4 linked regions of the Rattus norvegicus genome follow. The protein of the gene in region 1 interacts with the protein of each later gene in a pairwise test. Links are inferred from orthologs where the notes say so. Each region holds a gene or a part of one and is shown in the gene's direction. Other genes may lie near its edges. The genes, in order: Ap1g1, Ubl7, Ap1s2 and Ap1b1.

The links.
Region 2: the proteins of Ap1g1 (region 1) and Ubl7 interact in binary tests that used the Homo sapiens proteins (3 or more experiments, as listed by UniProt). The two-hybrid records come from large-scale screens. The link is inferred for Rattus norvegicus from reciprocal best matches to the Homo sapiens genes AP1G1 and UBL7.
Region 3: the proteins of Ap1g1 (region 1) and Ap1s2 interact in binary tests that used the Homo sapiens proteins (3 or more experiments, as listed by UniProt). The link is inferred for Rattus norvegicus from reciprocal best matches to the Homo sapiens genes AP1G1 and AP1S2.
Region 4: the proteins of Ap1g1 (region 1) and Ap1b1 interact in a two-hybrid assay, tested with the Homo sapiens proteins (2 studies listed by BioGRID, with this or other methods). The link is inferred for Rattus norvegicus from reciprocal best matches to the Homo sapiens genes AP1G1 and AP1B1.

The regions. Positions count from the first base shown.
Region 1 is NC_086037.1:54,651,109-54,658,886, forward strand, and holds the start of Ap1g1 (AP-1 complex subunit gamma-1), read left to right. Parts: upstream 1-2,992; 5' UTR 2,993-3,315; exon of another isoform or gene 3,316-3,421; intron 3,422-3,551; exon of another isoform or gene 3,552-3,682; intron 3,683-3,910; exon of another isoform or gene 3,911-4,047; intron 4,048-6,718; exon of another isoform or gene 6,719-6,827; intron 6,828-7,778. UniProt on the Homo sapiens protein: Subunit of clathrin-associated adaptor protein complex 1 that plays a role in protein sorting in the late-Golgi/trans-Golgi network (TGN) and/or endosomes.
Region 2 is NC_086026.1:67,214,609-67,222,369, forward strand, and holds the start of Ubl7 (ubiquitin-like protein 7), read left to right. Parts: upstream 1-2,559; 5' UTR 2,560-2,605; exon of another isoform or gene 2,606-2,713; intron 2,714-4,002; 5' UTR 4,003-4,031; coding exon 4,032-4,215; intron 4,216-5,618; coding exon 5,619-5,738; intron 5,739-7,761.
Region 3 is NC_086039.1:34,226,056-34,233,833, reverse strand, and holds the start of Ap1s2 (AP-1 complex subunit sigma-2), read left to right. Parts: upstream 1-3,149; 5' UTR 3,150-3,271; intron 3,272-5,304; coding exon 5,305-5,483; intron 5,484-7,778. UniProt on the Homo sapiens protein: Subunit of clathrin-associated adaptor protein complex 1 that plays a role in protein sorting in the late-Golgi/trans-Golgi network (TGN) and/or endosomes.
Region 4 is NC_086032.1:84,115,692-84,122,871, forward strand, and holds part of Ap1b1 (AP-1 complex subunit beta-1), read left to right. Parts: intron 1-420; coding exon 421-526; intron 527-2,910; coding exon 2,911-3,046; intron 3,047-3,893; coding exon 3,894-4,139; intron 4,140-5,682; coding exon 5,683-5,873; intron 5,874-6,714; coding exon 6,715-6,936; intron 6,937-7,180. UniProt on the Homo sapiens protein: Subunit of clathrin-associated adaptor protein complex 1 that plays a role in protein sorting in the late-Golgi/trans-Golgi network (TGN) and/or endosomes.

The DNA.
Region 1 (7,778 bases):
CTCAGTGTGAGCTGTCCAAGTATGTAAGAGACCAAGAGTTCGATCCCATACATGCAAACAAGACAACACAACACAGCAAACACAGCCCCTGGAGTGATAGCTCATTGGGTAAAGTGTTTGCCTAGCATGTCCGAGGTCTTGGGGTCTATCTCAAGTATTGCATAAACTAGACACGGTGTAATACCAGCATTTGAGACGCAGAGGCAGGAGGATCGGGAGCTCAAGTTTGTCTTTAACTATACAGATAATTTGGGCTATCCTGGGCTACATAAAAGCCTGTTTTTTTTTTTAAAACTATTTTTACACTACATAAAACTGCATTTTCTTGCCAGGTGTGCAAGAGAACACCTACAATCTTAATACTTGGGAGATGAGGAGTCGACATCTTAAGATTAAACAGTAAGTTTGAGGCCAGCCTGAGGTACATGAGTCTGTCTCAAGTCTCCATTAGCCCTACTACCAGAGTTGGGTGAGGAGTATTTTCTAATAAACATTCCTTTTCAAAATGTGAAAACTTTTATTGATAAATGTCTACTCATTCGAAATACATTTTTAATAACCCTCCTATCCGAAGCAAATACTTTTCATATTTTAATGTTGTTACTCAATCTTTTTCCATGTATGTGTACAATTTTAGGAAGCTCATCCAAAAGATTTAAAGTGTTTATTTATGAGTGTGTATGTGTGTATGTTGTCCTTGGAGGCCAGAAGGAAGTGTCAGACCCTGTGCTGCAGGAGTTGTAGGTAGCTGGTGTGGTCGGACATGAGACCTGGGATCTGAACTTGGGTCTTCTGTAAGAACAGCAGGTGCTTTTAACTATCGAAACATCTCCCCAGCGTCTCAAACTTAATTTTAATAACATTTGAATATCTGTCACATTAGGATAGTTAGATGATATCTACAGTTTTGTTTTAATCTTTTTGAGATAGAGTCACATGTAGTTGAAGTTAGCCTCAAACTTGCTATGTAGCCAAGGATGATCTTGTACTTCTGATCCTCCTGCCTCTAACACTTAAGTGCTGGGATTCCATTGTATGCCACCCCATCAGGCAAAGAGTGGTAATTTAAAGAAAAATACAAGTGAAGAAAATAGCAGCAGCAGCAGCAGCAGCAGCAACAACAACAACAGCAACAACAACAACAGAGAAAGGGCCTAAGTTGCGCTTTTCCTTTGAGTGTTCAGCTTTTCTTGGAGGGAGGGCAGGTTGTGACATCAGTCTTTATGCAGCCAAGGCTATCTACTGGGGGTTCCCAGTCTCTCTGCATCAGTCTCTTAGGAACTGAGTTTACAGATAGATGTGGCCATCACAGCTGCCTCAAAGTCCTTCCTAAGAAGACATCTCTTTGCCATTAATCCTAGCACTTAGGAGGCAGAGGCAGGCAGATCTCTGAGTTTCAGGCCAGCCTGATCTACAGTTTCTGATGCTGCAGGGATAGACAGAGAAACCCTGTCTCAAAAAGAAGAAAAGGAGGAGAAGGAGGAGGAGGAGGAGGGAGAGGAAGAAGAGGAGAAGCAGAAAGAGGAAGAAGAAAAAGAAGGAAAAGAAGAGGAAAAAACTTCTTTTGTTGTTTGCTATGGTAAACACTTAATTTTGGCTCTTAAAAGCTATTTTAATCTTCCATGTGAAAAACGTGGCTACCTTTGCCTTGCGTCTCTGCTTGAAGATTTCCTTTATGGACATTTCACTGTGAATTTGGCACGTTTCATTAGTACTCCTGGCTTAGAGTGCTAGCATTATGATGTTCTAGTCTTAGGCTGTACCTGGGGCTGCTCAGGGCAGATGCACCAAAGAAGGGTAGGAGGGTCTGAATTTCATAAATATTCTGTTGTCTAAATCAGTGGGTCTGGATTGGAATACATGTTTGGGGTGTGGTGCGTTTTCTGTTTAAGATGACATCTTAATGCAGAATCCATTGTGAGAGACAGTTGTAATTTCTCTCGTCTTAAATCTCTTCATTTGTAAACTTAGGTTACTTACTTCGACTCAAGAGATTGCTTAGAGGGCTAGGTTGTGCATTATGACCAATGAGACACCAATAGTTAATAAATTTGATCATGACCTTGGAGTCCTTTCTTTCCAGCCACTTGGCATGCCCCAGAAATTCAAGGTCAAAATTGTACGCCTAGACTTACCCAGTTCAATGTCGGTAAAGTATTTTGAAATCCTTGCATGAAAAACGAATGCCTAAGGGAAAAGTTGCAACTTCCTGTTTATGACACTCAAGTCTGAAACTCAGGATTTGTGCTTAGTTCCTGGTCTGTGGTATTCAGTCTACTATTGTGTTTTATTCACATCCCGGGTGGCTTTGTTGCCAATCTATCGGAAAGATTTTATTCTAGGTAGGTCACCTTTCCTTTAAATGGGCCAAGATATCAAGGATCTCTAGGTTCACATGGAAAAGACTTTTGTCACAAGTTAGTAATTATTTATCACACCAGGAACTGTCTAGTTAGACTTTCTTTGCTTCAGGTTATTAGTTCATTCAATCATAGATTGAAAGCCTATTCTGGAAGAGTTTTAGCTGTCTTTTGTCCAGATTCTTTTTTTCTCACGGGAGGGAACTGAATCGTTGGTGAGATTGACACACAAAGGGTGGTGCTGTGCTTGGATCCATTCTTCGGTTTCATCTTCTGTTTTTGCAAAAAAAATTATGAAGATACCATAAAACCAAGGATTCCAAAACTACTCGGCATGCTGCTAAATTTGATCAGAAAAGCTAAGGATTCAAAGGTGATACGAACCACTTAAGAATTCTTTTGGAAACACTAGCTACATGCCCTCTCTGACTTCCTGAGTTACCTTGCTGAGCTCCGCCCCCTCAGGTGACCCCACCGTTTCCCGGCTGCACCACTTCCCCAACCCCGCCACCAAGCGGAACCAAAGTGCGTTGACTCTGGAGTAGGGCCGGACCTTTCTAGCTCAGACTCCTCGCAGCGGTGACTCGGCAGCCGCGTCTAGCGTCATCAGTGACAGCCCCGACCCTTGCTACGCTTTGCGTCGCTCTGCCAGGCGCAGTCGCCTCCTCCTCGGCAAATAGTCCTCAGCAGGGTCCGAGTACTCGGGTCATCCGAGGTGGGAAAGAGCACAGGTTGCAGTTGGAGGGACGCGGAGTGGACGAGGAGAGGGAGCGGAGGAGCGACGTCTTCTCGAGAAGCGCGAGAAGTGAGTTAGAAACTCCCTCCTCGCCTGGGATCCCTCCGCCTGCAGTAGCGGTGGTGAGGCCGAGGGAGCCGCCATTTTGGATGTTCGGTTCCTGCTGCCACTGCTGCCGCCGCCCCCGAAGCTGCTGGTTTCATTCGAGGTTTCGGGCCGGTGAGTGTCACTCGCGGCACTGAGAGCTGGTTGTGTCTTTGGCTCCACTGCAGCTGCGAGCGTTTGACTGGAAACCTCCTGTCAGTCCCAGGGGTCCGGACTCAGCCTGTGGGGGGTGAGGAGGACCCAGGTTGGGTCAGGAGGGACCGGGGAGCCCCGGGCTTGCTCGGACTTCCTGAGGGCCGACCCTCGGAAGCTTCAGAACCGGAGCTCCGGTGCGCCGTCGCTTTCCCTACCTTGGGGTTGTCTGGCCGGTGCAGGCCTCCTTGAACCCATTGACTTTATCGAGCTGCTATCCTCCTTTGAAAGCTGGTTCAGGGAGCCTAGGATTTAGCGGGGCGGGCCCCACCCCCGCGTGTCCTCTCTGAGCCACGTATCAGCGTTCTTGTGTCGGGGACTCGGGTCAGATCTGAGAACTCTGAGCATTTCCCACGCAGGGGTAAAGCTGCCTGTCCCTGCAGTGCCGTCCACTCAGAGCCGGACATCGGCCTCGCCTCCCTTTAACCTTCCAACTAACTTCTCTTTCAAACATTTTCGCCCTTTTTTTTTCTTTTTTCTTTTCTTTTTCTTTCTCTTTTCCTTTTTAAGAACTCACCTGCGACCGCGCTGTTCACTCTCCTCTCCAACTCTCGGTTCTGCGGACGTCAGTTTCTAGGAATTCTCAGGATCTTCCTCATTGCCTGGAACTGTCGGTTATGCTTCCCAGTTAGGGGGCTTAGTGCTGGAGAGCCGTCGAACCACTTAGAGTGTATTTCAGCAGTAAATGGGTTTAAAGCGGGTCAAGCGGCTTTGGGTGGGAAGGAGCTGTCAAAAATACTTTCTGGATTTCCTTTCTGTTCTGAAAACTGAGTTTGGGGCACTTACTGATACTTTTTTCTTTTGGTGTTATATATGCTTAGCATGGAAGGCTGCCCTTGGAGAATAATAACCTGACGTAGGTAGAAAGGAAAATAACTTTTTTAGTTCCTATAGGGATTAGTTAACAGAAGAGCGAGCTGAATGGTCTCTTAGTGACCGCACCCCTCAGGTGTTTGTATAGTAATGATCTTTGCTGACTTCCTATGTTGACTTTTCTCAGAGTAGCTAGGTTTTAAGCATCCATTTCCACCGTTGCCCGTAGTATTTGCCAGACTATAAACTTCTTAAGGTTCGATTTGAAACCTGTGGATCCTTGAAGTAATGATAGCTTCATTAATTCTGTTAAAGTCTGTTTGCAGTCCAGTATGCTTGAATAAAGAACATTTCACAATAATTCACTGGTTATTTCCTACATTTCAAGTTAGGTGAGTGTGGTTGAATCACCCCCGTTTTATCTCACCCTAGGTTTTTCATCTGCAAAAGAGAAACAACTTCTTTGAGATCATGAGTGGCCGGAAACCTAAGTTTATAACATGAACCAAGTTAAATCTCTCAATACTTGTAAAGTTTATATTGATGCAGTATTTAACATTTTTGGAAGACATATTTATTTTTTTATGTTTGAGTGTCTTGCTGGCATACATAGTATGTGCATCACGGGCATGCTCAGTTCCAGCGGAGGTCTTTTGGATCCCCTGGAAATGGGATTCTAGGCAGTTGTGAGCTGCCCTGTGAGTTCTGGGAACTGAATCCATGTCTTCTCTAAAAGCAGTCAATGCTTTTAACCGTTGAGCCACCTCTCCAGCCCTGTGATGCTTTCTTTATTCTTACTAAGCTTTTGAAATGTCTTTACATTTCAAAGGTAAGTTCTTTACATTTAAAGGTAAGTTCTTTACAGGCCACACAGTGACACAGAGGACAGTATTTTCAGTGTAGATATTCTGTGCTCTTGTTATTTGTTTTTAGCAGCTCCTTCAGAACTAGGTTAATTCTTGTTAGACACGAGTTCTGTGAGTGTGCTGCTCCGAAGTTGTGCAGTTTTCTTTTGCTTTAAGAACTCAGCAGTGTCACCTTGTTTGTTATTGCTGAAATTTTCAGTTTTTGAGTTCACTTTTTGAACAAGTATTGAGAAAGCTATCATAGTTATTTAACTCAGTTCATGGTATGGTTTAACATACTGGGATTTAAATATCATTCATTCTTAGATGGTTTACAGTTTACCTTGAGAAAGTATCCTTTTGTTAAACAAATTATTAGCAAAGTGCTGTTTCCTGTACCCTTGAGCAGCACGTATATGAATGTCTACTTTGTCTCTTGGCTGTTGAGAATTGCACTGGAAGTTAACATTTATGTTTAGTAAACTTCCATTTATTTTCTTCCTTCTTCCTTACCCTCTTTTCCCCTCCCTTTTTTTGAAACATGGTTTTGCTAAATTGCTCAGGCTGGCCTTAATTTGCGACCCTCCTACCTTACCTGAGTAGCTGAGATTAACAGGCCTCTGCCAGCAGTGCTGGCCCAGCTTTGGTTTCTGAGACAGTCTTCCTATGTAGCTCAGGTTGGCGGGACTTGTATACTTCTCTTCTCCCAGTGTTGGGGCTGCAGGCTGCAGGCTCCGAGGATGTGTGTCCAGCTCCACTCAGTTGCTTTGGTAAAGGAAAATGTTTGATTCAGTCTGTTTTGCTGACAGCAACTATATAATCTAAGGGTGAATTTTAGGATAAAACTGTAAAATATAGAGGTTTCCATTAATGTCTTGCTGATATTTAACCCAGGCTTATTTTTAAAAAGTCAGGTAGTGGGATGTAGCTTCATGGTAGAGTGCTAGCCTAGCATACTTAAAGCTGTAGGTTCTGTCCTACTCTACCTCCTACCCTACCTCCTAAAAAAACTAAACAGTATACAAAGCAGATAAAAACTCAAATAGTTTAAATGGATCATTAAAAAAAATCCTTTTGTAGGCATAAAAGGTTAAATGAGTTCTTTCAAAAGTTATTTTTAATTTGAAAAGTTGAATTGGAATCTGCATATCAAGACAGATTTCAAATGTTTAATCCCTTTTTGCATTTGATAGAGACTTACATTTTGTATATATAATGGGACATAACTGATTAAACATTGAAAACTCTTAGATTTAGCTGGGGAGAATGTAAAAATAAAACCTTAATGGAGAGATGAGTGGTTAAGAGCACTCACAGCTCTTCAGAGGATCAAGGTTTAGTTTGGTTCCCAGCACCCACATGGCGTCTTGCAGTTGTCTGTGACTCCAGTTTCAGGGATCTGACTTTGCCTCTAGGGAGCTCCAGCTGTGTGTTGGTCTAAACAAATCAACCAATCTACCTACCTACCTATCTATCTAATCTACTTATCTATCTTATCTGGTCTACCGATCTACCTACCTATCTATCTAATCTACTTATCTGCCTTATCTGATCTACCAGTCTGTCTCTCTGTCTATCCATCTATTATCCATCCATCTGTCCATCCATCTGTTTATGTTAGGTGCTTGCATCTTAATTCTATTAATTTCTTTCTTTCTTTGTTTTAAGGCAGGATTTCTCTAGGTAGCCCTCTTTCTGTCCTGGACACAGTATGTGGACCACACTGGCCTGGAACTCAAGAGTTCTCACTGCCTAGGCCTTCTTCCTAGGATCAAAGTATGTACAACCATACCTGACCTGCATTTTAATCTTAATGCTGTATGACTTGTTTTCAGGCCTTGATTTTAGGCTTTTAAAAAAATCTCCATTACTTTTATCTCTTATTTATCACTTTATATTTTGAAATTTTATAAATTCTGTGAATGTATTTGTGAGTGCATGCATATTTATGCTGTGGAGAGTGTGGAGGTCAGAAGACAACTTAAATTTAAACCAAAATTGTATTTTATTTGTATTGGTGTTTTGCATGTGTGATGTCTGGGCATCATATGTATCCTTGGTGCCTATGAAGGCCATAAGTTAGAGTTACACAGACAGTTGTGAGTCCCCATGTGAGTGGTGGGAATCAAGCCAGGGTCTTCTGCAAGAGCAGTCAGTGCTCTTAACTTCTGAGCATCTCCAGTCTCCAGAGGGCAACTTGAGGGTTCTTGCCTGCTACCATGTTGGGGCAGTCTCTTCTATCGCTGCCTTCCATCTTGGAATTACAAATGAGCCAAATACGCTTTGTGCACAGGTTCTGAAGAGTGGACTCAAGTCACCTTGCTTGGCAAATGCTTTTAACTGCTGAGACATTCTCTGGTCCTTTTATTTATTTTTAATAATTGATTTTTATTTTATTTTTATTGTTTTGCCTGCACATATGTCTGAGGACGTCAGAAGTCTTAGAACTGGAGTTAGAGCAGTTATGAGCTGCCATGTGGGTTCTGGGAATTGAACTCTTGTCCTCTGAAAGAATTATATTGCTCTTAACTGCTCACACTTCTACAGCAGCCTTTTATTTGTTTTTGAAACAAGGTTTTACTGTGTGGTCTCAAGGTGGCCTTAAACCCATGAACTTTCTGTTTCAGCCTCTTTAGACCTTGGATTACAGGCCTTTGCTTTTGGGCTCTGTTTTCCTCAGTTTCTTAGGCAGGGTATTTAAAGTAGCAAGCAATTTTAGAATCAAGA
Region 2 (7,761 bases), on another chromosome or scaffold:
TTATAGGTGAGTTTCGTTTGCTTTCTTTCTTTTTTTTTTTTTTTTTGGTCTTTTTTTCGGAGCTGGGGACCGAACCCAGGGCCTTGTGCTTCCTAGGCAAGCGCTCTACCACTGAGCTAAATCCCCAGCCCCTCGTTTGCTTTCTTGTGAGACTCCGAAATCCTCATATTTGATTAAGCTTGTTAAACATCATTTCAAAACTAATAATGTTGAACTAGGGAGATGGCTTAGTGGGTCAGGTACCCACTGGAAAGACAGAGAGGCAGTAGTGTAATTCCAGGGGATGGGGGAGCTGAAAGGGGAGACTGTACAGAAGCCCTTAGGCCATCTAGCCTGCTTTACATAGCATTGAAGAGAACCTGTTTTAAGTGAGATGGAAAGGTGAGGTTCAACACCTGGAGGCTGTCACCCGACTCTACACTTTTATCAGGACACACACCCACCTACACCCTTTGCTGTGAGCATTCATGCGCTCCCCCAGAATAATACTAATAAAAATTTAAATGTCCATTCTTGCAACTTGTTTCTCAATAGAATTATTGACTACGCCAAATAGTATCTTGAGTGTTTAATGAATGATCATCCAGCACTTTCTTAGTCTGACAAGGATATCAATGTTTCCAAATATGAACTGGCAGAAGGACCTGGTTTTGAACTCTTTCCTTCTTGCCAAACATCTGTCTTTATGTCCAGGCTTCTCCTTCCTTCTCTAGGACCTGACCTTTGCTTGGGAGCATAGTACTTACTTGCTAACTGGGTCCACACAGAACCTGTGTGGTTGATCTTAGCTTACTCCTATATTAATTTGCCCATCCGCAGCATCCTCACATTGCAATACATACAATAAGGCAGCCATATTTGATAAATAGCTTTGGCCTGGATTATTCATTCAAGACATATTTCTTGCTAACCTGCTATGTTTCAGGTAAAGATCACCTATGGAAGGCAAACAAGACCGTCAGGGTCCATTTTTCCATGAAGATTATGATGACAACAAACAAAAGAATCTCACAAGCATTCAGCACCATTTTGAGAACACAAGAAGAGATAGGATTCCTGACATCTCCAGCAAACGGTTAAGACACAGTACTAAACAAAATTTAATGAAATAAAGCGTGGAGCTTAAGTGTCAGTACTCTAGTAGACAGAAAACTGGCTAAGAGGGTGGCCACTTAGGAATTCCTGAAAGAGGGGCTATATTTAAAAGTGGATGCATGGGATAGGGAAGAGGGACTTTGGGAACTGTGAAACTGCCTACCAGCATGCATACTTTATAAGAACAGGAGGGGGTAGTCATGTATGTGTAGTTTGCTTTTTCTGTCAAGCTATCCTACTCAGTTACTCCCCGAGTTCTGTCCTATGGTGGACTGTACAAGGATATAGCTTTTACACCTGTGTACACAGAATCAGTATTCAGCTTTTGTGAACTATCCCCCTAAGATTTATATATGTATTTACACTGTCATTGTCTTCAGACACACCAGAAGAGGGCACCGGATCCCATTACAGATGGCTGTGAGTCACTTGGTTGCTGGAAATTGAATTCAAGACCTTTGGAAGAGCACTTAGTGCTCTTAACCACTGAGCCATCTCTCCAGCCGGAACTTTATTTCTTAAAATTACATTTGTGTGTGTGTGTGTGTGTGTGTGTGTGTGTGGTCAGTTTTGGGGAGTCAGTTCAATCTTTCCACCACGTGGTTCCCAGGGGAACTGAAGTCCTCAGGTGTGAATGCAAGTGCCTTTACCTGCTGCCTTTACCACCTCACCAGTCCCTCAACTTCACAGTTTTAAAGTAGGTTTCTGGTTTTGGTTATCGTTTTCCTTAGTTTTCGAATTAATGTTCTGAGATCAATCAGTACTCTCTTGAGTTTAGCTAATTCTAACTTTTGTGTAAACACAATACAATTTGATCTTGCAGAAGTTTCTCAGTTCAGTCATGTAAAACCAGCAGTGTCTCAGTTCAGTGGAAATTCTCCTCCCCAAACAGATTCTATGAATGACTGTGTTATAAACCCCATTGTTGCATGTTCACGGTGGGCCAGAAACCCGACTTAATCACTCCTCTTACGGACTCAACTTTTGGAGCCCTGGTGCGCTGCCACAAGGTAGGTTCCCTGGGAGAAGGGAGCAAGAAGTACAGGAGACTGACTACGTGGGAGAAGTGCGTCTACATCGAAAGGGCCGCGGGGCTCCTGTCCACTTAGGAACCGGTCCCCCTCGGAGAAGGTCCGCCCTCTGGCCTACGGCCCACCCAAACGCGGGACAACCAACAAGCTTCAAAAATATCCCAGAGAGCGCGGGAATCATCGGACTATTGACTGCTTACGAAAACCCCACACCGAGTTTCCCTACCTCAGCTGGTACATTTTGTCTGACAGAAAACTACAACCTACTTGCTCCTAGGATCTCAAAGTGCTCGAACACACGCCTCCTAGGAACCGGAAGCATTACCACTAGCCACTGGACGGCCATTTATAAGGGGCGGGGCCTCAGTGAAAACTATAGCCCCCAGAATGCAGCGCGGGGCTTCCGGTTTCCGGCAAGAGGACCAGAGTGAGTGTTTACACCGGCGGCTTGCTGCGGCCGGGTTCCTTCCGCGGGACGGGTGAGGGCGCTGGGCCCCCTGGGCGCGCGGGGCTCTCGTGGGTCCGGAGTAGCTAACTGGTCCCACGAGAGAGGTGGGGTTGTCAACACTGTCCCTACTCACGACTAGGTATCTGTGACCTTGGGCCAAGTGACTTCAGCTTTCTGAGTCTTGATTCCTGATCTGTAAAATAAGGATAGTGATGCCAGTTTCAGGGGACAGTTACGAGGATCGAGATCGGTATACAAAAAGTCCAACTCTTTCCTCGCTTTAAACCTGTAGATGGATAGTACCTTGAAGTTGGCTGGGTCGCATCACAGCTTTTTCTTAGTCTTGTCTCTACCGCAAGAGACCTCTTCGGAAGAAATGGTGTCTATAACAAGGACTTGCTTTGTGATGCAAGGCTCTTGCACTCTTTTGAGTTATTAGATTTATTTTTGTGGGCATTCATATATGCCAGGCTTGGAACAGTGAATTAGAAAAGCTCTAGTCGGGGCTGGGGATTTAGCTCAGTGGTAGAGCGCTTACCTAGGAAGCGCAAGGCCCTGGGTTCGGTCCCCAGCTCCGAAAAAAAAGAACCAAAAAAAAAAAAAAAAAAGAAAAGCTCTAGTCTTGGCTTTCAAGGCTTTCAAGAAAGGGGGCGGAGGCGGGGGCGGGTCACAGGTGTGAGGGAAGCAGTGAGAAATTGCGAAGTAAATACGGTTTATAAGGAAAAAGGAGCGAAGAGAAGATAGCTTTTTAAGGCTGGCATCTGGTAATGAAGCTGGCTGACTTGTCCTCAAATCTGTTGATTTGTGTTGCTCTCTTACCTTGAGGGAAGAGGGAATGTGTGACCAAGAGAGGAAATATATGGGACAACTTTGTTATAAAGTATACTTACCTGTGTTGTTATAAAGGGGCAGGGCTGGGTCTGTTGAAGAAAGCTGGTAGGAGTAAGAATAAATGGTTTTGTAATCCAGGCTGTGGAGTTAACCTGATCATAGAGGTGTTTTGGAATCAATGAAGGCGGTCTAAGCTTCTAAGTTAGATCTGTGTTTTAACAATATGGCATTGGGTGGCGCTATAGATCTCTGATAGCGGGAGGCAAGAGAGGCAAGGGCTCCTTAAAGCATTGTAATAGCTAAATCAAAAGGTGAAGAACACCAGAAATCAGTGGGTAAAAGGGATAGGGTTGGATGATCTTGTTTGACCCTCACAACATTCCTATCCAATTGGTTGGCCTTTTGTGCCCACTTTAAAGGTGAAGAAACTGAGGCATAGAGAAATTCCTTGCTGTCCACCACTAGCCTCTTAACATTACACCCGTGCTTCTGTAGCGGTATTGCACTGACATTGTCTTTCCTTTATTCTTTGTCGCAGGGAGAGATGAGTAGGATGGTGGTTTGTCTTTTAACCGTTAATGCCTTACTGTTTTACAGGGAGAAAGAGAGAGCGAGAGAGAGAGAGGATGTCTCTCTCAGACTGGCACTTGGCAGTGAAGCTGGCTGACCAGCCACTTGCTCCCAAATCTATTCTTCAGTTGCCAGAGACAGAACTGGGAGAATATTCCCTCGGGGGCTATAGCATTTCGTTTCTAAAGCAGCTTATTGCTGGCAAGCTCCAGGAATCTGTTCCAGACCCGGAGCTGATAGGTGAGTCTCTGTTGGCTACAGCTGGGTTGCTGCTCTTGCCTCTGGGAGAGGAGGTAAAAGAGTAAATTAAGGGCTTGTGGTTTGTTGCCTCACTCCAAAGTTAAGTTTTATATGAGTAGAAACACAAAACTATCATTTGCCACTTGAGTCTCATGTTACACCAAGCTACGTTATTACTGAAGGCTCTTCGCTGTGATATTGCTGAGGTCTTTCTCTGAGAGAACAAAATTAGCAAAGAGTTGCTGGTGAGACAAGACTCCTCAGCCTGTCAGGTAAGGCTCAAGGGATAATTAGAAGGATTTTTGGTTGGCCTTGATGGCTGATTAAAGGGAAGGCAGCAAAACAGGAAATGAGGTTGACAAGGTATTCCTAGTGGGGGGAGGGAGGACATAAGTACAGTACAGTCAGATTAGATTGGGAATAAATTATGAGAGCCAAAGCTTCTACCTGGTGCAGACATTTCCTGTCACAGATGGAGTAGCTGCCTCTTATTTTGTTGTTAATTTTTTTCCCATTTATTTGGACTAAGCACTCGCTGCAGTATTGAGCTCTACAGGAGTACGTGGATATATTTCTTAAATAAGCATTTGTACTTGATTAGTTTGTTTTAAACGTTGGGGTTTTGTATGATCTTGAGACAGGGTCTCACTTTGTAGCCCCATCTGGCTTGGAACTTAGGATTTAGACCAGGCTGGCCCAAACTCACCATTTATCTCTGCTTCTTGAATGCCAGCAGTCAAAATGTATTATCTTAATGTCCCCCAGCATTCATAGGCACTGACTGTTGAATCCAGGGCCTCGTATATGCTAGATAACTAGTCTGCCTCTGACTGTACCCAAAGCCTGTTTATCTGACTTTTCGATCTTTAATAAACTGCTCAGGCTGGCCTCAAATTTACTTCAGCCTCCCAAATATCTGAGATTATAGATATGTGCCACTGCACCTGGGAGAGTGTCTTCTTTTGTGTGTATGTCGTACATGTATGTGAGTGTGCAAGAGTATGCATTCATGCGTACTTCATGCACATGAAGAGACCTGAATGGGATCTCAGGTGCTCCCCTCTCTCATCTACTTTATTTCCTTGAGATGAGATCTTGCACTGAACCTGTTCTTCCAGTTTGGGTTAGACTGGATAGCCTGCAAGTTCTTGATCAGCTTGCACTCCTTCTTTAGCCACTGATATTACAGGCATGTGCAGCCATGCCTGGCTTTTTGTGTGGGAGCTGGGGACTTGAACTTAGGGCCTAATGCTTGCAGAGCAAGTGCTCTTTACCCACTGAGGTGCTTCCCTCTCTCCTGAGACCTGTCTAATTAAAATAAGATTCTCAGGAGATAGAAACCAAATTGCTTTGAGAAAGAAAATATAAATGGGCAGGGTTTCGTTTGTTTGTTTTCTTTGTAGATTTGATCTACTGTGGCCGGAAGCTTAAAGATGACCAGACTCTTGACTTCTATGGTATTCAGCCTGGATCCACAGTTCATGTTCTCCGAAAATCTTGGCCTGAGCCTGATCAGAAACCTGGTAAGGGAGGGTTTGTCCTCAGTGGGTTGGGCAGAACTTCCTAATCCCTCCAAGGGAAGAGCTTGTGTATTCCTGAGATACAGTCCTGGATGATTTATCAAGATGGAGATAGGCAGGATCTTTTCCTCATCGGATTAGATCCCCACTGATAAGATGTGACATTGTTACTGTCAGCACCACTAATGATAGATGGGTTTGTTTGTTTGTTTGTTTTTTAACTTATAAGTTCATTAACCATTGTTTTCTAACAGTGTAGTGTGTGTGGACCTCTTTAAACTCTTTAGAGTAACAGTTGAGTTTTCTGTAAACTTTACATCCTTTTATTATTGTTGCTGTGCTCATTAGACAAAAGCAAAACTTACTTTGTTTTTGTAATGCTACAGTTTGTTTTTGATTAAGCAGATCTTCCCACAAACTCCCCCAGGTAGTTGTTTGTTCCGTAAGCTGAGTAGTCAGGCCTCCTGAGCTCATAGCTGATTTCCACCAGCATTCAGGGAGCTCCTGAAGAAACCTAAAGCCTTTTAGTCTATTAATGCACATTGCTGCTTGGAATTTACAATTTAGATCTTGTCTTTGTGCTCTAAAAGTGTCTCCGAGTATAAAGCTAAGCTATGTAAAGGAAGTCAGCTTTGTTAAACTAGCAGTTTGGCATATTTTTTATTTTGCTTGTGTCTGTTGTGAGTAGTTATTAATTTGAAAGTTATCTTTTCAATTCTAAATGGAACAAAAACCTCTTTTGTATCCATTGGGAAATGAGAGAGAGAAGCAGCCTGGCATCCTAGGATTGGTGTGATGCTCTCAGCCAGACTTTGGAGCCCTCTGCTATAGGGGTCACCATGATCAGACAAGGAGATTCTGAGACTATCATGAGTCAAGTGGAAGATAAGATCCTTGGCATTTCTGAACAGAGACAAAGCTATTCATTGTCCAAACACCCAGAGATCACACCCCTTCCCTGGCTGATGAGCGTGACTGTGCCTCTTCCACTTTGAGCTTTTACCTCTCTCAGGTTGGCCTTTTTTCTTGAATACGGCTATTAAAAGCAGAAGAATAAAATTGACCCCAGAGAAGAACATCCACGCCCAGATGCTCTGACTTTTCTAATATCCTCTGATTGAGCTGCTCTGGAGTTCTCATGGTATATATTCTCCTCTACATACTGAGCATCGAGCCCAGCTTGTTCCGGACAGGTCTGTCTCTCTGCTCTTCAGCTAGAGGACATTGACTGAAGAGAGTGAACAGCTGTGGGTTTCTGCAAGCTAGTTTTTTTTTTTTTTCCAGTATATTACACAATCAGGACATGGTAGATAAATAACACTTAGTACTTTATAGATAAAAACAAGATCGGAAGTATATCTGTTCAAAGTCACCTAATTAAAATGAGTGTTAGAACTAGGATATGAACCCAGATCATTCTGGGTTTGTGTTTTATTTTGGTCTGTCTGCCTTTCTTTCCAAAAAGGGTTACAGAGACACCCAATATTCTTAGCAGCTTGTGCCTTAGGACATTTAGAGCCTTTTCCTCCCTGTGTCATCTGCAGGTTTATTTTTGAAACAAATGGAATTTTTATTGGGAGGGGAATGTAAATTTAGTTCTGAAAAGAAAGTTTTTTAAGTGATATACTTTAGATATTTTCTCCCGTAGTATTCTTCCAAAAGGAGATGGATTTGATGATATAATTCCGTGGTCCTAGAATAACAGGCCAAGGGAGGAGGTTGCTCACTGAAAGCCAGCCTGGTTTAAATAGTAAGATTCAGTCCCAAATGACAGGGGTGAAGCAAACAGTAGCATCCACTGTAGAGCTGGTGCTTTTCTGTAGGAGGAGGATCTGCTAGCTTCTCTTCTTCTGCCTGGCTCACTGTGGGGGTCTGCACTGCAGGGTGTGTGTGTGTGTGTGTGTGTTTAGCCAGGGCCTTGCTTTTATAGCCTAGAACTCGTACTTTTTCCTTTCCTTCCAGAAACCAGGATTAGAAGTATATGCTACCATACTCACCTTAACTTTATATATGTGTGTGTTTATTT
Region 3 (7,778 bases), on another chromosome or scaffold:
TTGTTAACTCTTTATTTAAATCCTAAGTATTGCAATATGTTGATAGTGCACCCTGACATCCTTAATGACCTCATTATATTAATGCCTCTTCACATCATCCATGTGGCCATGTTTTAGATAATTTATAAATAATTGTATGTACATTGGTGATTTGCCTACATGCCTATCTGCACATCTCTTGTGTGCCTGGCTTTTAGAGAGGTCAGAAGAGGGTGTCAGACCCCTGGGAACTAACATTACAATTAGGAGCTGTCATGTGTGGGTGCTGGGAACTGAACTCGAGTCTTCTGCATTAGCAGCCAATGTTCTTAACCAATTAGCCACCTCTCCAGCCCCATGTGGACATGTTTTAAACACTGCACTGTTTTTCCCTTTTTGTTTAGTCATAATTTGAGATGGAACAGACATAAAAATGGATGGGTATCAGAAATTTAATAGGATACTATAATTATTTATTAAAACCTTAGATATTATAGTATCTTAATTTTATTACTAAAAAATAGCATCTCTATTTTACCCTCACATCTTGTATTTAGCAGACATGACGGCAAAACACTTTTTGAAATTTAACCAACAATACAAATTCTGGTTATTAATTTTTCACACATGATTATCGTATAATTTTCCACGTTAACATAAAGAAGGCAATATCACCCTGAAAACAAAGACAAAGGAATGATAAGATTATATATTGACATGACAGATGAAAAAGGTAGTAGGTCAGAGGCAATATATATATATACACATATATATGTGTATATATATTTATTTATTTAAAACAAACCCTACAATTTGAGAAATGTGGAAATCAAAGTCAAACTAGCTAATTACTAACAAAGATGGTAGCCGTGCTTCCTTTTGTCTTTCACAGTGAATGCACCATTAGCACTTCATACTAAGACTGGGGAATAAACCATCTATAATCTACTGAAAAAGACCATCTGCTTCTATAAATTTTGTACTCATATACTTGCCAAAGGAAGAGAACGTATTAACAAAATAATGGGCCCTGCTCTGTTAATTGTAGGTTGTTTGCAGTTTTGCTGTTGCTATTAGAATTTAATAAGCCATTCCTTCTGCTAAATTAATAAGCAGCCAAGATTATGTAATAGCTGCTTTCAGCTGCTAATTATTTTCCCATAATTCCTTCTCTACCCCAGCCCTTCCTTCTCTCTCTCTCCTCACTCCTCTCTCCTCTCTCTCTCCTCTCTCTCTGGCTAGGAACACAGAATGAAACTGCCAATTAGCAAGTCTCCCATCATTTCCCGAGCTACTACTAACCAACGTTAGTAACATATCCAATCAATTTAAACTTGGGAGGTGACTACTTAGGAACCTTGGAAGACAGGTGTTTTGCACACAAAAAGAAAAGGCAGTGTTTAGAATTAGAAGGCAGTTTTTCATTATGTAGTATTAGTGCTATCTGTGAATTGGCTAAAAAACATCGGTTCCTTGTATGAAGGAAGAGAAAGGACATTAGCATTTCAGGGGCATGTTTGAACAGGAAACAGAAATTTGGGCCGGGGGGGCCTAAAGACCCACCAAAAGCCAATTCTGCTTTTTGTTGCTCACTTTAGTATATTTCACTCACACGTGCTAATATGAAACTTTCCAAGCAGCATAGTATTGCTGGAAAAGGGGAAATATTCTAGTTTTATTTTTGCTAAACAAAAGCATTTACAAAATGACCTCAAATTCCTATCATATATGATCCTATTACATTGGTACTGTAAGACATAAAAATCAACATTGATCTCTAATAAGGGGTTTCTTTAAATTGAATAAACACAACTTCGCTAAAAATGTAGCATCTTTTCCCTTACATTGGTTAATTTACAATTCCTGTTTAGCAATCTCTGCAAAGAAAGGCATACCCAACAAATACTCAGTTCTGGCTTTTTTTTTTTTTTTTTTTTTTTGTAGGGACGGAGGTGACTGTAGTAATGAGTAGCATTTGACATGGGAAATCCATCGCTGCCCAAGCAAGGTCACCTAATCCCGTGGATCTCCACTCCCCTTATCTATAAATGATAAGTTGAACTAGATGATCCATCCATTCCAGCATTCAAATAAAACATAGAAATCCATCATATGCCCAGAACTAAGTCAACATTTCAGCTTTTAATAAATCTATCATTATTTTATAATTTTATTAGGCAACTCACATTTATCAGTGGTGTTAAAACCAGGCAGGGAGCTAGATTGTTAAACGAATAAAATCCAAGGTGCACTAAACAGAAGCATGTGGGTAAAAGAGGAATTCGTTGTTCCAGGGCTTTAGAGTGAGGCTTCATAGATGTGACATTAGAGGAAGGGCATGGCAAGCAGAGCGAGTCGTCAGCAAAGCTAAACTGGAACCCGGGTTGGGGAAGGTGGGGGCGAGACCGTGAGAAGGAAGCGGGATCTGGAGGACTAAGCGCTGTCTGGATTTTTGCAGCAGAGAGCGGACCACAACTCATCCAGTCCGCCGCACTGCTGGGCGAAGCAAGCCCTGCAGAAAGGCTCTTGCAAAGCTTGGGGCCAGAAGTGTCTAGGTTAGCTAGGGCTGTAGCACTGCGTTGGAGAGGAGGGGCCTCCTTGCAAACGCGGGCGCGAGCACCACGAAAGCGCTGACTTATTTTCCCCAGAGTTGCAGCACTCCTGTCCTTGCTCCCACCATCATCACCCACTGTCACATCTCCCCGTCCAACCCTCTGGGGACCCAGAGAGTCATCGGAGCTCGAAGTCAGCTCTTTGTAGTGCGGACCATCCTTAGCCTGCACCACGGGGTCAGCTAAGGGCGCCGCGGAACCCCATCACCCTGCCACTGAGGAAGCCAGGACAGCCGGGTGCGCTGCGTCCCCGCGGCACGGCCATAAGTACGCAGGCGTGCCGGCCACAGCCAAAGCCGCTTCCGGGTCACGTGGCCAGACTTCCGGCCCTCGCCACGCCTTCCCTGTGGCCATTTGACCAATCGGCTTCTCGTTCTTGCCGGCAACTGTGCTGACTCTAGAGGCGGTTGGCGCCCCCTCGGCAGCTTGGCGCGCGTCCTCTGGTCCGCCTCTCAGCTCACCGCAGCCTGGGCTCCTCCTTCGTCCAGCCTCCAGGGCGGGATCTGTTGGCTCGCCCTACCCTCGCCGCCTAAGCCTGCCCTCCACCAGACGGGTCCCCTCCCCGCGGCACCACGGCTTCCCTTCAACAGCCTGGCGACGGGGGCTTCCCCTCAGCAGCTGCCGGCGCCTCAGTCTCCGCAGCCAGCCAAGCTCCGCCGCGTCCGCGGCCCGCAGCCGCCGTAAGTGTTGAAGAAGTCCGCTGAGGTGGCAGGGATGGAAAGAGGGAGAGATGGCCGGGGCGCGCCCCCCGTTGCCCCGTGAGCGCCCCGACGACCCCACCCCGAGTCCTCTTGGGGCGCCGCGCCCCAAAACTCACTTCTGGCGGCGGTAGCGCCCCGCTCTCCACTCTGCGGCGCGCCGGTGATACGGGGGACGGTCCTGGGTTCCACGGGGACCCCGCGGCACCTGTGGTTCGCTGATCGCCTCAAGTTTGACGGGGTGTTTTGGGGAGGGGCCGGGGTGGTGGCGACCGAGGACTTGGCGCCCCTGGCGGGCCAGCGGATGCCATTGTCTCTCTCCACTCCTTGCCGGTCACATCGCCCAGCTTTGGGCACTGATGGAGTGTGGTCCCGGGAGGAGGGGAGGCGTCCAAGACTGCGGGACCCCAGGGATGCTGGACCAGAGCCCACTCCAAGGCTGAGCTCATTGTTGTTTTTTGTTTTGTTTTTGTTTTAATACCAATCTGGAGAAATTGTTGTCCCAGGATTTGAGGCAAAATCAAAGCGAGGGAAAAGGAATACTTGTGCCACGGGTTTCGTCCCATGTTAGCACATCATTTGTTTTGAGGAAAATGCTTGGTTTCTTCGTTCTACAAAGTGTTAGGGCGGATACTAGACCCCGTTACAGATAGCCTAGAGCACACCCCTGTCATTAGCAAACCGTCTCTCCTGGTCGAGATTTAAGAAAACCGATCGGTTCCTTTCCCAAGTTCTGTTAACGGTCGGCGTTCAATGTCCAGTTGATGCTTTACTTGCCGTTCTCTTCGATGCCGCTGTCTTAAGGACTTACACGGGTAGCACTTTGCTCTCAATGAATTATATAGAGTGTTGTGTGGAGTAATAGCCAATTTTAACTTTATTAAAGTTAAATGGCTACGCCATAAATATCCGGATGTTTTCTTGGTGCCTTTTTGTTATATTGTGAGGTGGTTTTCCTGTCGAAATTTAGAGCCAATTTGATTTTATATTAGTTACGTAAATTCCTCCTCCGTGTGTTCATGTTTAAGGTAGTGTGGTGAATATTAAGAATTGTCCTTGAGAGGATCTTACTTGCACTGTCACTGTTAAAGGAACTTAAAAAGGTTAAAACAGAACACTTATCCGAATTTTACCTTCAAATTAGCTTTACAATACAGCCCATTTTTACCAGTTGAATTATAAAATACATGCCTTAGAAAACAGACTGACCAACAGACATGCAAATGCTAAGTAAATCCATACAAATTAGCTTCAATATAAAATATACTTGAATCCAGCATACATTCGAATGTGGTTTCTGTTTGTTTGTTTGTTTTAAAAGATGTATACTGTGTGATGTCTCAAAATGTTGTTTTAAATTAAATATCCTGTGTTTCAATATGGGTAACTTTTGGGTAAAGCTTTTTAAACTTCTATTCTCTTTTACAGACATTAACTCAGTTTTTGAGTGCTTATTTATGTTGTATTTTATAAAAGAGAAATGAAAACATAAAAAATCAGACTTTTGTCTTTAAAATGTACTGTGAAATATTTGACTAATATTCTGTTTTGTTTAAAATATGCTAGCATAAATTGAAGGGAGTGCTTGAAATTCCGCCTGGAACTAGAATAGCCTCAGGGTGAAAATAGTAGGTCTCCTCTTTCCTAGAAATGTACCTAAATCAGCTACCTGATGTCTGCATTTTCCTTTGATGCATGTAGAGTGGTGGAGTGTGGAACAGGTAGAAAATTGTTTCCTGAAATTATCAGAGTTTTTGTTCTTCAAAAAATTCACTCCAGCTTACCACCTGTTCTGCTTTTTACACACTCTCTTCTACACTTACCTACATACATATAGTAAGAAGATCTTTCCAAAAGAATTCCATGCTATTATAACCTCCATAGAAATGTTGATGGCTTATTGATCATTTGTCAGGGCGTTTACTGTGCCCCCCAAAGCGGCTCTGAAAATCATGTGCTCTTAACTGTTGCTCCGAGGTAATTGTATGTAATCTTGATTTTATTTATTTTAACAGATGCAGTTTATGTTGCTTTTTAGTCGTCAGGGAAAGCTTCGACTGCAGAAATGGTATGTCCCACTGTCAGACAAAGAGAAGAAGAAAATCACCAGAGAACTTGTGCAAACCGTTTTAGCACGGAAACCCAAGATGTGCAGCTTCCTTGAGTGGAGAGATCTGAAGATTGTTTATAAAAGGTAATCCTTTTTTTATTTATCAGAAAGGTGAAGTACTGTCAAGCATTAGGGTTATTTCTAATGAGGAAATTGCAGACTTTTAGGTCAATAAACAAAGATTAATATTTAAATGAAATAAATTTGAAGGAAAACTTTCCATTTAAAAATAAGTAACTGCTATTTTGATTGCTTGCCTTAGGGGAATCATTTTTTAACTAATTATATAAACAAGAGAGACAATTATTCATGCTTAATCACCATTTTAGAATAATTTAATAGATTTATTATAGGAGTAAATAGGGTCAGTATTTTAAATTTTTAAGTACTTTAATAAATTCAGATATGCATAGATAACAGTGTAATAACTCTTTCTTACAACAAATTTATAAAATAATAACCGATATTTGGTATTTCTTTTCTGATATTTAGAATCAATCTTATTCATAAATACCCTGGACACATAGACTATCTCATTATACAGATATTTAAATACTTTGTATATATACAGTATCTCTTTCCTAATAGCATTTATTAATTTGAAATAGACTTGTTGCTGTGAAGGAGTTATGCTTAGATATGATAATTTTACCACGGATGGATATTTTTAAATGATGTTGCAAAATAACTTATTAAAAAATAGCTTTTTGCACAGTTCTTTTCTTTAATGCTACACATCTTTATTTTGTTGGTAAACAAACATTTTCTAAGCAGTTTAAAAGAAATATAATTTCTTTTATATAATGTTTTTGAAGGAACATTTCCTTATTTCTTCCCTTATTTCTGATCCCCTTTGAATAATTTACTGAATTTAAGATAAAAGCATTTCTTCATATAAAACATTCTCTTGTATGGGGAGTGCTCAGAGAACTAACAGTATGGAATTCAATGAAGGTAAAGAGAAGTCTAGTTTTCTATCACTACATTTCAAATATGGATGGGTTTTGTGGAGGAGGTGGCAGGGGAAGTCATGGAGATTAATAGGACATAGAGACACTCTTAAGTACATTAGATTTCTCTTCCTTTCATAGATAAATTCATATCGGTTTGGGTGATTTTGTATCCAACGTTTGGCTTAGTGTTTGTTGAGAAAGATAATAGCATTTGCAAACTGGAAGATGCCTTAAGAACACACACACACACACACACACACACACACACACACACACACACAACCTTTTTGCCCAAGGATAGAATCGTGAATAAAACACGTAGAAAAGAATTGCTTTTCTAGAATCAGAAATAAGAATCCTGCACCCTGGATCAGTTGGTCTCTGCTCTCTGCACAAAAGACAGGTCCTGGATTTGAAAAACAGTTTATTGTTCAAATTTCAATTTATAAAAGATGAGAATTTGTGAGTGGTGAGTTGGCCCAAGGTCATATACTAGTGATGGGCTTGTAGATATGGAAAGATAGAGATCAGGTTTGCACTTTCTGCAAAGACTGAGGTAAAAGTGGCTGAGGAGTGGGCTGAGACTGGCCCCTGCAGGATCAGTAGGGGACTGCATCCGAATTGGTTCCTGAGCTGAGAGCCAGAAAGGAGACCTGTTACGTAGGAAAGAGGGAGTGGAATCACCTTCATTTTTAGAGTTTGGCTTATGGGAAGTAAGGTAAGCTAGGAAATTCAGTTAATGTGCAGGCAAGTTGATGTGGCCTTTATTGTTCCCTTGGCCCTCTGATGGGATGTGGTGGGCATAGACGTGGAACTTGAGTGTGGAAGTTAGCCATAAGGTTATCAGCCAGCATGCAGCTGCAGGGGGGAGTGATAAAGACAGATGGAGCCTGCAGATTGAAGTGATAAAGAAGCAAAAGAGTGATGTCAGGTCAGTAAAGTCACAGAGGCAGAGAGATACGAGAGTAAGAACACTAATTCCAGGTTCCCATGAAGTTCGCTAAAAGTGGAGAGCTCTTCGATTCTTGTGGTGAGAGTTTTATGCCTTGACTTTTGCCAGAACATTTTCAGTGGAGGTAGAGACAGAACTTTGGATATAATGAGGCAAAGGTGGAGAGGTAGAGAAACGAAACAGCATGTATAGAGTATTTAAGAGAGCTTTGCCAAGGACAGAAGAGGTTGTAATTATCCATAGACATGAATTCTGGATTGCTGGACAGGGTTTATAAAAGGTGTGAGAAGTTTAAGCTTATTTCTAGATAGTGAAAGGAGTCCCCCGTGTGGAGGAGGAAAATCCTAGCAAGAGAACAAGCCCATGAATGGGCCATTCGAAGGGGAAAGGAAAGAACAGGTTGGAGCACATAAACCTGCCACTCTGCCCAGGCCCATTCATCTCCCTGCCTTTTTCAGAACTTCAAAAAGAACT
Region 4 (7,180 bases), on another chromosome or scaffold:
TGTCTCCAGGCTGAGGAAGTGAAACCCTGAGTAAGCTGTTTGAGCTCAGGGTTCTGGGAAAACAGGAAAAGCCTGTGTGTGAGATCAACCAGCTCCCCCACCTCACCCCCACCCCAGCGCCCCAACTCCATTCAGCCTTTAGGGAATCGGGGCAATGAGAAGGCTGAGGAGAGCTTGCTGTGCATTTTTAGCAGTCTAGCTGAGCAGCCCTTCGACACCTTGGTTCCCGTTTCTGCAGTCCAACATGGCCTCCAGGCTCCTATCACCTTAATATTTCTCCTCACCACTCCTGTCTCTTGTCCTACCTGAAGCCAAGGGCCTGAAGCTGCTCTCTATCTCCACCTAGTTCTCTGGGGAATTGGTGTGAAAAGTCATCTTACAGCATGGGGTAAACTGCTCACGACTGTCTCCTTTCCTCAGGGGAGATCTTCGAGTTGAAGGCAGAGCTTAACAGTGACAAGAAGGAGAAGAAGAAGGAGGCAGTAAAGAAAGTGATTGCATCAATGACCGTGGGCAAAGATGTCAGGTATGCAGGAGCAGGCAGGTGACAGCCAGGTGCTGACCAATATTGAGGCTCATAGCTTGGGTGCAGGTCGGCTCTTTGGCTCCTTTGGACAAACCTCATTTACAAACACAGGATTCTGTTTGCACACGAGTGACAGGCTGAAGTGCTAATGGCTCAGACAAGAACTGAGTGGAGCAGACTAGGTTGAGAGGGCAGCTGGCATCCCAGAGGGTGCAGCAGAATCCAAGGCTCCAGAGGAAAATGGGCACAGTACAGCTGGGCATTCTGGGCTGTTTGTTTTTCCTGAGAACAGGAAGTATGTTTTGTTGTCGTTCTCTGTTCTGACACTCAGCACCTGGTCTAGTCAGTCTTCATGTCCTATGAGGTTGTGTCAAACTGCCTGTCAAACTGAGAAGTCTCCAGAAGATACAGTTCATTTCACAACTGCTCTGTATTTTCATTGGCCCATCTACAGAAAACCTTCAGATGCATTTTCTCAGGTTCTCTACACGGCCCATTGTGAGCAATGATGTTTCTTCTGCCAAAATAAATGAGGCAATGAGGAAAATTACTCTGAAATAGTCACACGGCTAACGCAGAAAGAGAAATCAAACCTGGGCCTTTCAGAACCCAGACTTTGTCGTCTGTGTGTGTCATGGTCCCTTGCACATACCACAGAGGTTCTGATACTCCCTAGCTGGACCTTACAGAATGCCCCACTGTCCCAGGCTTCCACACAGATTGCCCACGCCATTGCTGACCTTAGGAAGGCCTTCCTACAGCCAGTCTAGGAGAGTCCCTAGCACAGACCTTGTTAGAACAGAGTGTAAAAGGATTGGTGTCTGGGATATGAGGTGCCTCAGGGGGTGAAGGTGTCTACCACCAAGCCTGGTGACCTGAGTTCAATTCCCAGGACCCACAAGGCTGTCCACTACTACTTGTTCTCTGACCTCCACATGTGTGCTGTTGCCCACGTGCCCTAGTGTGTGCACACACGCACACCCACACTCAATAAACTGTAATTTTAAAATATGTTGAAAGATGGGGTATCTCTAAGTCTCATACTTTCTAGAAGGAAAAGGTTTTCTTCAGTTAGAACAGTACTGTCACTTTCTAACAGAAAATAGCTTTGTTCTTCCTCCTTAAAAGAGCTTGCTCTGCTCATGACTCCTGGAGAGCCATTCAGACTCTTCACTTCCTCTTCCTCTCTCCACAGTGCTTCTGTTCTTCTGGTGTGTCATCTTCCCAGGTTACTTTGTCCTCTGCAGCTCTGAGGGAACCTGGCCTGTGTGGCACCCCCTTCATGTTCTGTTTCCTAGTTCTTGGTAATAAAGACAGATGATGGCTCAAATTCCAGAAAACCCATCTGTGCGTTTCACATCTCAAGGCCTGTACTCTGGGACCATTATGGGACCTGTTGGAAAGAGTCCTACCAAGTACAGCAACGGTCATAGATCTGATTCTTCATGTTGTCTGACATTTTGGGAGGTGGTCGTGTGAGTTGAAGACAGAGCTTCTTTGTGTAGCCCTGGCTGACCTGGAACTCTGTAGACCAGGCTAGCCTCAAACTTAAAGATCCACCTGCCTCTGCTGGGATTAAATGTGCCATTCTGCCTGGTCAGTGTTAGATTAATAAGATTCTTTAAAGGCATGCACCACCACCACTGTTGGACATTTCTTAATTCAGAATTATTTGACATGGGAACACACCGCTGGCCTCCTGGGGCTGTTAAAGGAGATGACGTATGTCCACTCCTTAGCACCAAGTCTGGCACACAGCATGTGTCCATATACCTTGCTGATTCGTTGTGGGTGCCACACTGTTCCCTCAGCCCTGCTTCCCTGAGATGCTCTATATGGGACCAATGGAGTGTAAGGAATGGACAGAGAATGACAATTCAGCAAAGACCAGAAGCTTCAGGAATGCTCTCTCTCTCTTTTTTTTAAAGATTTATTTATTTATTGTATATAAGTACACTGTAGCTGTCTTCAGACACACCAGAAGAGGGCATCGGATCTCTTTACAGATGGTTGTGAGCCACCATGTAGTTGCTGGGAATTGAACTCAGGACCTCTTGGAAGAGCAGTCAATGCTCTTAACCACTGAGCCATCTCTCCAGCCCACCAGGAATGCTCTTTTAAGTATCACAAAGGCCTGGAAAAGTGGGTTTCTGGAGGTGGGGAGCAGTACGGGAATTGAACCCTGGACCTTGTGTGTGCTAGGCAAGTGCTCTACCATTAAGTCCCAACCCTAGCCAAAGTCAGCTTCTGTTGCCCCTTCTTTACAAATGAAGAAACTTTCCCCTGCTTCTCCCTGTCATCCCTTTCCTACCCTGCAGTTAGATGTCTGAAAAGCCCACTGTTCTCAGTCTTCAGCCTCTTCTGGTGCTCCCTTGATCTTGCAGTGCTCTCTTCCCTGATGTGGTGAACTGCATGCAGACAGACAACCTGGAGCTAAAGAAGCTGGTGTACCTGTACTTGATGAACTATGCCAAGAGTCAGCCTGACATGGCCATTATGGCTGTCAACACCTTCGTGAAGGTGAGCAGAAACCTGGTGGAAGTGGGAACAGGTGAAGACTGCTCACTCTCTCATGTCCGGAGTGCTTAGCACCCGGGCTCAGTTGCAGATTCACACACAGGCTTCCTTCTGCCTATTCAGGCTGAGGCCCTCTCCCTCCAGCAGAGGGCTCCCTCTCTCTCCAGAACCACAGACCAAAAGACCGCCTCATTCAGTCCCCGTGAGGTGGCACCAGGCCCACTGGTCTCTCATTCTCCTGTGTCTGCTGCCAGCACAGACTTCAGGAAGCACCCGAGAGCAGCTCCGTTCCCTCCATATGACTCCTTTCTGTGTTTCTGTTCCCAGATGAGGAGCAAAGCATGAACTTGGACGTTGGCTCCTAGTCTACTATGCTCACATACAGGAAAATTAGGGGTTTCTGTGGCTGTGTGTGCCTTTAATTCCAGCACTCGGGAGGCTAAGGAAGGAGAATTGCTATGACAATAGGTTGTAGCTAGGCTACATAGCGAGTTCCAGGCCAATCTGAGTAGTATCCCAAGACCCTGTCTCCAAAAGAAAAGACTATGGTGCTAGGAACATGGAGGTCCGGATTGCCAGTCTGCTCTGACTGGGTGAGCCCATAACCACCTCCAAAGCCTTCCTTGGTTGGGAAATGGCCTCAGGATGCAGCAGAGAAAGGGTATAGAGCCCATATGTGGCAAATGCTTGGCATCCATTCTGTGGCATTTGCTTTGAGTATTGTTGGCTGTGGGCAGTGGAGATCCCATAGCAGCTGCCTGATGTTGCTCAGAGCTGGAGGCCAGGAAGAATAGGAAGCCACAGATGACTCATCCTGCCCTGCCCCTGGCCAATGACTGGTTCTCCTCAGGACTGTGAGGACCCCAACCCCCTTATCCGGGCCCTGGCTGTGAGGACTATGGGCTGCATCCGAGTTGACAAGATCACAGAGTACTTGTGTGAACCACTCCGGAAATGCCTGAAGGATGAAGACCCATATGTGCGCAAGACAGCAGCTGTGTGTGTAGCCAAGCTCCACGACATCAACGCCCAGCTGGTAGAGGACCAGGGTTTCCTGGACACACTCAAAGACCTCATCTCTGACTCTAACCCCATGGTAAGTTGCTAACAGTCATCGTGATGCCTCCACAGACCTGGATTGCTTGAGAAGACAACCTGACTTTCCACCTTAGGAGTTAGGCCCTCGCTGAATATCTAATTGTGCTCCCTCCTTGCGGTAGTTGGCAGGGAACGAGGCCTGGTTTTCCAGTGGCCTCTCAAACGAGCTATATTTAGGAAAGCTGCCTAATCTTTCAGAGCCCTGTTTGTCTCATTGTTAGATTTTCAGGAGGTCACATACCTGACCTCAGCTGGCCTGCTCCGGCAAGCAGTGACTACAGTCAGTGCTATTGTCTGTCCCTTTCCAGTTGCTGTCATGTCAGTAACTCCTAACCAAGACTTCCTGTCATTTCCAGGCATGTAGTCCTCTTTCTTGTAGGGTTGAAATGGCGTCACCTTACAGTACTACAGTGAGCAGAACAGGACACCAGGATGCATTAGCTGGGAACCCCGTCCCCTCACTCATTCTGATGGCAGGAGTTTGCAGTGAAGTTTGTTGGGACCTGTAATCCCAGCAGTCAAAAGGCTGAGTCAGGAGGATTGAAAGTTAAAGGCCAGCCGTCTATACAAAACGAGATCTTTTCTAAAAATTGAAAACTCTGTAAGAAATCAATGGAATATTTAAAACACTGGGCACTGCTCCCACTTTGTATCCAACAGAAACACCGATTGCTTATCAACTAAAGGCTGCTAACTAGAACACTGTGTCATAGAGGAAAGTTGTAAACATTGTAGACTGTTCAGGAAAGGAGTTGTCCTGGCCAAAACATTCGGTAAACCCTCCTTAGCCTGCACCCATCCCCTACCAGCAGCCTTGAAGAGGTAGATCTGCAGGACTTCTGTCTCTGAGCAGCACAGCTGACAACCACTGCAGTGAGCACTCTGGCCAGTAGAGGGCGGCGGGCTTGTGTTTCAGTGTGAGGTCCCTGGAGTTGGGCTTCCCTCTTTCCAATGGCAGATGTACTGATTGTAGTTTTGCTTTACAGAGGATCAGTGGGGTGAGTGCTTGCTGTAGGCCAGACTTTCTTGAGGCTCTAGAACCTACCAATAGGATCACATCATATTCCTTACAGAACATCCCATAGGGTCACACCATAGTCCTTACAGAGCATCCTATAGGGTCACACCATAGTCCTTACAGAGCATCCCATAGGGTCACACCACAGTCCTTACAGACTGTCCCATAGGGTCACACCACAGTCCTTACAGACTGTCCCATAGGGTCACACCATAGTCCTTACAGAGCATCCCATAGGGTCACACCACAGTCCTTACAGAGCATCCCATAGGGTCACACCACAGTCCTTAACAGAACGTCCCATAGGGTCACACCACAGTCCTTACAGAGCATCCCATAGGGTCACACCACAGTCCTTACAGAACGTCCCATAGGGTCACACCACAGTCCTTACGGAATGTCCAGTAGGGTCACACTGTAGTCCTTACAGAATGTGCCATCTTGATCTCCTAGTGTCATTAGCCCCTGTGCTCCCTGACGTGAGCAGTACCTCCAGCCTCTACCCTTCTGTCCTCTCATCCAGGTGGTAGCAAATGCAGTGGCTGCCCTGTCAGAGATCGCTGAGTCTCACCCCAGTAGCAACCTGCTTGACTTGAACCCACAGTCTATCAACAAGCTGCTGACAGCCCTTAATGAGTGCACCGAGTGGGGCCAGATCTTCATTCTGGACTGTCTGGCGAACTACATGCCCAAGGATGACCGTGAGGCCCAGAGGTGAGCAGACAAACCCTGGCCAGGAACTGACAAGGATCTGTCTGAACTGAATCAAGTTTTGTAGCTTCAGAACCACTGACTTTTTTAGGTACTTGACTCTGCTAGGTGCCTTCAGTGTTAGGTAATCTTTAGAGCAAGTCTGTGAAACGTATCCTATCATCCTTGACCACCTCACAGACAAGGAGACTGAATTAGTGAGAGGAGGAACTGTGTAGTTTACCCAGCTGGATCTGTCTTGACCAATGAGTGAGTGCTTTGGCAGTAGGGAGGGAAAGAGCTGACAGTTGGAGGTATCTGCCGTGTGCCAGCCTCTTACTCACTCTGTTCACTCACATGCCTACAAGCCTGTGAAGTAGATATGTGAGTGCATCAACTCTCAGATGAGGAAACTGAGGCTCATGGTGTCTTGGACCTGTGACTCAGTAGGTAGCAGACAAGAAGGCCTTCTTCCTGTGGCTCAGTGGGTAGGGTGACGGCTGAGCATGCATGAAGCCCTGAGCTGTGCCCACACTGCATGAACCACGCTTGGTGGTGTGGTGGGTCTTCTCAGCGCTTGGAGATGAAGGCAAGAGGATCAGAGTGTTAAAGTCAGTGGCGGAACACTTGTCTCAGACATGAGGCCCTAGGTTCAGTGCTACTACTGGAAGGAAAAGAAAAGGGGGTGGGGGGTAGGAAACAACCTTGGCTTGAGAAGCTCATGGGCTGCATAGCAAGTTTAAGGCCCATCTAGGTTACATCTGTCTCAAAACAAAAGCCAAAAAGACATGCTGCTGTGAAAAGTGAAAAAGGACCTTTTTCCCTTGTCTCCTTCTCTTTGCTCTACTGTGACTGCTGACCGCAGCATCTGCGAGCGGGTCACTCCTAGGCTTTCCCATGCCAACTCTGCTGTGGTGCTGTCCGCAGTGAAGGTCCTGATGAAGTTCATGGAGATGCTGTCTAAGGACCTGGACTACTATGCCACACTACTCAAGAAGCTGGCCCCTCCCCTGGTCACACTGCTGTCAGCAGAGCCAGAGTTGCAGTATGTGGCTCTGCGCAATATTAACCTCATTGTACAGAAAAGGTAAGGTGACTGCCACACACGTCTGCCATATGCTGGAGACAGGGACCCTCGGGGAAGACTGATCTGTCACCATGTAGGAAGCCTGAAGAGTGTAAGGGGTTCTCAACCAGAGTACCTTTCCCTTTAGGGACACTTGACAATGTCTGGAGATATATTTGGTTCTCACAACCTGAGGCTGCTACTGGCATCGAGTGGGCAGAGACCAGGGACACTGTCAGTATCCTACAGTGCTGTAGAGTCCCAG